Bombyx mori: one gene and its partner. The protein of the gene in region 2 purifies or fractionates together with the protein of the main gene of each other region. This does not show direct contact. Links are inferred from orthologs where the notes say so. Each region holds a gene or a part of one and is shown on either strand. Other genes may lie near its edges.

Evidence for each region. The genes of interacting proteins can lie anywhere in the genome.
Region 1: the proteins of Ywhae (region 2) and inositol polyphosphate 5-phosphatase E purify together in Homo sapiens (affinity purification with mass spectrometry; 3 studies listed by BioGRID and IntAct, with this or other methods). This does not show direct contact. The link is inferred for Bombyx mori from reciprocal best matches to the Homo sapiens genes YWHAE and INPP5E.

Annotation. Positions count from the first base shown.
Region 1 is NC_085123.1:6,741,741-6,745,500, reverse strand, and holds the start of inositol polyphosphate 5-phosphatase E, read right to left. Parts: upstream 2,802-3,760; 5' UTR 2,645-2,801; coding exon 1,980-2,644; intron 1,836-1,979; coding exon 1,716-1,835; intron 126-1,715; coding exon 1-125. Other genes in the region: uncharacterized protein LOC101746422, read right to left, coding at 3,005-3,165, 3,669-3,760. UniProt on the Homo sapiens protein: Phosphatidylinositol (PtdIns) phosphatase that specifically hydrolyzes the 5-phosphate of phosphatidylinositol-3,4,5-trisphosphate (PtdIns(3,4,5)P3), phosphatidylinositol 4,5-bisphosphate (PtdIns(4,5)P2) and phosphatidylinositol 3,5-bisphosphate (PtdIns(3,5)P2).
Region 2 is NC_085122.1:14,139,084-14,142,743, reverse strand, and holds part of Ywhae (14-3-3 epsilon protein), read right to left. Parts: intron 1,593-3,660; coding exon 1,437-1,592; intron 779-1,436; coding exon 374-778; 3' UTR 1-373. UniProt on the Homo sapiens protein: Adapter protein implicated in the regulation of a large spectrum of both general and specialized signaling pathways. Binds to a large number of partners, usually by recognition of a phosphoserine or phosphothreonine motif.

The DNA of each region.
Region 1 (3,760 bases), on a different chromosome or scaffold from region 2:
GCGGTGCTTGCCCATTCATGTTCCATGAGCCAACAAATATCTTGACTTCTCTATCAGGAAAAACATGTTCTAGTTCAGCTGCGCCGAGGAGTGAATGTGAGGCAAGTCTACCATAAAGGTAATTTCTGAAATAAACATTTTCATTTGATCTTTCCATTTTTGTAATTGAAGTACCAATAGATTTTTCTGCATTAAAATAGAATACGACACTAAACACACGATAAAAAAAAAACAGTGTATTATATAAAACTTTTAAAACATGTTCTGTAGAATGTACTACAAGTTTTAATTTAGGATCTCATTTTCGTAGTACGTTATTGTAATTAACTTCAAGGTAACAGTGACTCAGTCCCCATATTGTACTTGGCTGATAAGGTAAAGGCAAAGTAAATAATTAGTTTGATTTATTTATGACTCATTACTTAAATATATTTTTTAATGATTATATGTTATAAAACATTCTCTGAAAAATAGCATAATATAAAAATATCAGATGCCTATAAATTTCATCTGATAATATTATGTATATAGTGTCAATGTATAATATAATAGAAATATATAGTATTTCTAATTGACTTTTTTATTATTATTGGGTGAACGAGTTCATAGCCCACCTGGTGTTAAGTGGTTACCAGAGCTCATAGACATCTGCGATGTTGATGCTGTCATCCACTTTAAGACATGAGTTCTTACAATTACAATAGTTGCACCATCCTTCAAACCAAAACCCATGAATGCTTCACGGTAAAAATAGGCTGGGTAGTGGTATCTAGCCATGCAGAATCACAAGACTACCACTATTATACCCCAATTAACAATCACCATTACAATTCATCTATAACAATTATTTATTAATTGGTTGCTTATGAAAGGAGCTAATGCTTATTTTTTAATACCTTTATTTAAACTTTCTTTATAAAGTAAATTTAAGATTATTTTACATAATTCTAATATGTTTGATAATTTATTGTATAAAGAGTATTGGTAAGTGAGCTTGGCTACTTGTTTTGTATTAGATTTCCTTTCCATCTTCAGGACAGATGGATCAAGTGTCAAAGGTACTCTGGTGGTGGTAAGGTAGCCTAACAAAAATATCACCAGTGGCAGCTGTGAACCTCCACCACCAGATCAGAATAAGAACTCACTGAGGGAATCTAGCTAGAAACATAATTAGCTGATGCTATAAGGCAAGTGTGACAACAAATTTGGCTGAGTTTGGTTTTCTATTATACTACTTCATCCCGAATAGTGGTTTTTTTCCTACATATTCGCTGGTAACCTAAGGAGCAATTTCAGCTGCTCGCAGATGGGTAGGTGAGCTCATGTGCTCAACCTGAAATAATTTGCTTATACTAGCCCTAGCAAGAGTAGTGCTTCGCAGAATCTACCACCAGAACAGAATTGCGACCAACTGAAAAAATGCAGCGAGAAATTCAGTTGATTGTGTCTATGGGTAATAGCTTTCTCTCCTTATTGTTGTATTCTGCGAAATAACATGGCTAAGCATTCTCGACTAGTTATCTTACTTTTTTAATACTCTACTTTTATCTACAGTGAGACTTGAGTAATTATTTTTTAATATACCATTTATTTCAGTAGTTTTGGTAATAATTTATAAAATACTATAGATAATAATATATAATATACTATATAATAATAATACCGTAAGTAGTTTGTATTAAGCATATGATTGTATATGGATGTTTATATCCTACCTTTCACGAGCTTCTTGTGTGGGTATGAGGCGTAGCACCTGTGCAGCAAGCAAAGAGTTACGTGCTAAGCTATCAGTGCTACCCGCACGAGAAGCAGACCGGGTTATTGTTGATTTACTTCTATAAAATGAAGTGGGTATATTATAATTTTTATTCATACACTAAGAAAAACCAATCTTTGTTAATCTTTAATAGATCATTTTTTTTTTAATGATTATAAATTGTTTAATAAAAAATACTACAATATAATAACCTAATAATTACCTTCTTTTACGATCTAGAGAACTACTCCTATCACTCTCGGGAGATGAAGAACGAAATAGTGGTTTGCTTTCAGTAGAAATCAGATGATCAGCTGATAAACGTTTGACAAAGAGTTTATTTTTTGTTTTGATGCCCTCAAATGAACCAGAATGTTCAAAGCTCTTTTTTGAATCATCACTTTTAGGAAATTTGATAGTTGCTTTGGGTATTTCGTCTGATTTCGTTTGAGAAATAGTTTGGTCACTTAAACTATTAATAGAATTCGATACTGGACTGCAACCTCTGGATGTATCTGGACACTGTTCATCTTTGGAATGACCTCCATCTACTAAGCTCTTGGGTCGAGATCTTCTAAAGAAGGTACGGCAGCATTTAGGGTTGATCTCCTCTTCTCTTTGGTTGTGACTGACACCGTGACTACTATTCTGGGAAAGTGGTTCAGCACTAGCATTTCGTTGATTATCTATCGCTTCTACACTGGTTTCGATATGCTGCGCACTTTGAGCTAAAAAAGGATCCGCGGGCGATATGGGCCGAGACGTGGACTGAGAAAATTCATCGTTTGATTCTGTATCAACATAGCAACCGACTCGAGGAGACTTTTTTACGAATAACCGTTTCCGCAAAGACAATTTCTGTTTTGTTCTGGTAGGAGACGTAGTCATTGTTAATTTAGTAAGAGTTTTTATGTTACTTTATGTTATTGATTACATATTTTATCTAAAATTCTTAACCTAGGTATCAAGTTTTTTAACAGACATTTTGGTAGCTATAGCTATTTTTCACTTAATGACAATTTGGACTCTTGGACACTGACAAAAGCGTTTTTCCTAGGTAACGTCATGTCTCTGAATAATCTGTGGGGATATAGTCAACCAACGTTAGCTTGAGTACGAGGTACAGATACTCTAGGACGTAATATTGTGGAAGTACTTAATGACAAGAGCTAATGTAATTTCTGTATTTTATTGAGATATTACAAAAAAATATTCTGATTTGAAGAAAATAAAATGAACATTATTTATTTAAACATGTAACCCGATTAGGATCATTATCACAGAAAAGAACAACACTCTATTCATTTTGATATTTACTCCGCTTCCTGTCCCAGGTACTAATAGATTAATGCCGGTGTATGCAGGATACGGAGACAAATTACCGCCGACTATAGACTGAATTCCATCACCTAAAACATGTGTAGTTCATTTTAGTTCTAATTTGATGACATAATATTCTGAGGACTAGATGTGTAGGACGTGAAGTAATAGCAGTACGTGTAGAATAGATAGATTGTTATATAGTTCATTATTTGTTTCTCTTGTACCTATGTAGTCCATTATTCATAGTTGCTATCTTCTTGTTACACTATAGGTACTGCCCTTTGAGCTCGATATCTATTACCGTCGCTTTGCTGTTTCTGAACTTTGTAGGCTAACATAACCGCCACCACCAACACCGCTTCCAACACAATTGAGCCTTCGGATCACTCCCTTTTAAATAAGTAATGGTATTCACGCTGTCGTGTCTATAGGTTTCAATAACCATTTAAAATTAAGTGGGTCGTTTCATATACTTACACTAATAAAAACAATCTTACAGCATGCTTCAATTATACCATTCCTAAATGTTTATTTTTATTTTTATTTTGTAATATTATAAATAAAAAATAAGCAAATTGTAATAAGTTACCAATGTTGCACAAATCATTTGTGCATGCTCTATAAAAAGTTCGGAATGTTGGATCTGTAACTTCGTGATTTAAAAAATCCGGGAAACTTTCG
Region 2 (3,660 bases):
CGCTACACTTCATTTTAGAGATACTTTGCGAAATTAAAAAAAATAAATTAAAATATACAAAAATCTCTATCACAATACTCGTAAGTAATTAAAGCAATTCAAATGTGAATACTCCAAATGTTGTAATACGAAAGAAGCGGAATCGCCGGACAGTGCGCGGAGGGCCTGTCGGCGGGACCGGAGCCGAGATTAGACAACGTTTTCTAAACAACAGTTAAAATGCAATACCAAAGTATTATATTACATATGATATACTTTCCATAATCGAAAACGAACAGTGAGAGGGCGGTCCCGGGCCCGCGGGTCGGCACTGCGGGCTGGCTCTTATACGATACTATAGTTATTTGTATATAATTAGGGGGAGGCGCGGCCATTACGAGACGTCCTGGTCCTCGCCGTCCTGCGCCGGCTCCTTCTGCTCGGCGTCGGCGGACTCCCCGTCGCCCTGCATGTCGGAGGTCCACAGCGTGAGGTTGTCCCGCAGCAGCTGCATGATGAGCGTGGAGTCCTTGTAGCTCTCCTCCGAGAGCGTGTCCAGTTCGGCGATGGCGTCGTCGAAGGCGGCCTTGGCGAGCCGGCAGGCGCGGTCCGGGCTGTTCAGGATCTCGTAGTAGAACACGGAGAAGTTGAGCGCGAGTCCGAGGCGGATGGGGTGGGTGGGGGGCAGTTCGGTCATGGCGATGTCGGAGGCTGCCTTGTACGCGACCAGCGAGTTCTCGGCAGCCTCCTTGCGGTCGTTGCCGGTCGCGAACTCGGCCAGGTACCGGTGGTAGTCGCCCTGCAACAAACGCACCCACATGTACAATTACATCTACTAACATTTGCCTTTTCGGTGTGCTCGTTATTATCTTCACAAACTTAGTATGAAATAAAATGTTTGTAACAACACGAAAATGTCAGTGATAAATAAATGAATATAAATAACAAAGAACAAATCACGCGGCCCCAAATTAAGATTCTCGGTGTTATGGCTACCAGAGACTGGACATACATACTTATATAAGTTTACATATATACACATCGAAAGGTGAAAAGCTATTTAAGCAACATTTCACTTAATACGGGACATTTATCTTTGTAATTAAAGATGCGTTTTATTTGGTATTAGCACCAATTTTAGTTTATTTAGATATTACATATCACAATTAAAAAAATGCCCAAATTATCTCACATTTTTGTTACATGTTTTGTTTTTCTTCAATAAACTATAAAATGCTTAGATGTATGATGACATTATATATATAATGATATGAAATGTTTTCGATAATCAGTGACATTTTGATAAATTTTAATTTCATAAATATGTACTTTATAATAACCCTTTAATACTTACCTTTAATACCCATAAATACTTTATAATAAATATCTTTTAGAAATAAGCTTTTTTCCTCTTGGAAAATATGTAAAATAAAACATTGTATGGTTATGAATCTGACCTTCATTTTGTAATAAAAAACTTTTGATTCTCCGGTCTGTGAGCTGGGGATGAGGTACTTGTCGAGGACACCGAGGATGTCAGAGCAGATGTCACGGAGCTCCTTCTCAACCTGGCTGCGGTACGCTCTGATCATGTTCAATTTGTCTTCTGCGCCCTGCAAGCCGAGCACACATCACGTTAATTTACAAAGTCCTCTTTTTGCCTATATAAAAAATAACTTCAAGACTCAATTTAAAAATATCACTAAAATACTAAATTTTAATGATAATGTGACCTTTTACAAATAAGTAACTTGGGTAAGACAAATTGTGAGCATGCATACAATAATGTTTGCAAGTTTGAACCTAGAATTTTTAACCGGGTTTTTAACAACTTCGCACTTGGAGGCTTGGCAGTGAATTTTGGAAAATGAGAACTCCACAACAGTACCGACTGATCTGTCTGTTATTATTACAAACATACATTGTAAAAGTAAAAAGAAAATGATCGTGTTTAAAATAGTAGACATGTCTGTTGCTTAGTCAACCCTTAAACAGGTCCAGTTCAATCAATAGTAATAAAATACATATAAGAAGCACTAAGCATTTATTTTTTTCTGTTTTGGTAAAAACCATTAAATTATATGCAACTATCCGAACTCGCCCGCTTGCTGGACATTTAAAATTAACATTATTTATTGTCATTATTATTAGGGAGTCCAACACTCAAATATTAGCTTATCCATTAAGTACATGTATTTTCTACATGGCTACCAAGTTTCAAGTCAATCAGATGCATGGTTCAGTAGTTATAATGGAACATCCGTAAAAACCACTGTAGATTTATATATATAGATATATAGTATAGATTAGCCTGTTATCGAACAACAAATAGATGATTTCATAAATGATTTAATTTTAAATATTATATCACAGCAACAACTCCCACAAAAGAATAAGTGAAGAAGTCGACGGAACAGAAGATACTGATTTGGAAAAAGTAATGGGGATTTTCATAACATGCTTGTGGAAATCAACTCTACATATTATTCACTTGCACTGGGAAATCAAGACTTAAACGAAGAAATTAAGCACTATTCATCGCAGGCAGTTGTGTACCTGAAGTATGACCCTATACTTTACTGGCAAAAAAAACTATTGATCAACACGTTCACTCAACAGCCCCATGATGTGTATGAGTATCGTGGGATCATTTGCTCCTTGTGAGTGCCTTCTTTCAATTTCCGCTAACCTCGCAAGTGACGAGCGGAGCCGCTTGGATCCCAGTAGACTTCACAGACTGTTTAAGTGTATTAAGCGTTGGCAACTATAAGCTATGTACATTGTTATTATTTTTTTAACTTTTTAATGTACCAAATACATTTAGAAAACAATTTTTTTCTTTTATACCTGATCTGATATGGTAATAAAAATAATTGTTATTATCAAATTACCTGATTTTACTGATAAGGAATCGTTTATAGATCTTCTCTATCAAGAAGAGCTTACTTATTTTTAATAAAATCAATTTGTGTTTACATTGTAAATGCAAACTTGAAAACAATTGGTTCTTTCGAAATCTTCGATTATTTCGTGAATCGATTCATTAGGTTACGATCTTTTTCAGAAAGAATGGCCTTGTCTAAGGCAATGGCCACCTCAGTGATCTGACCTCTTTTCCATTGAACTGGTTTGGGATGAACACGACAGAAGGGTAAAAATCGAACACCAACAAATTCAGAACATCTGTAGCAATTATTGGAGAGCGAGTGTCTGAGCGTTTTTTCTTAAAGAGCTGAATAAAGGCCATTACACGAAATATGTTCTACAGCCACGAACGCTCTACTTAGGAATTCAAAGACTGAAATTGATTTTTATACAGTAATCAAGAGATATAAGTATATATGAACGTAAATTATTTTATCCTCATTCCTAGCAGTAAGTCAGTAAGGATCGTAAAGATTCTAACCGATGATGCCTTGTAGATGAGTCAGTCTCAATTGAACATTTGCAATTCATATTCCTCAATGTGCCGCAGTCGATCGATACGCAAATATCTATCTAGCCCGATGATCTTTTTGTCGTCATTAAATTTATTTCTTCTAGATTTCGATGCGAGATTTATCAAAACAAAGTTCAGTCAATTTTACTTAATAAAGATATTAAATTATGAAAATCCTTTGCGTGACAGGTACTGTCATCGTACGTACACTTTGATAGACTGCGGTTTTATATTTGACGATG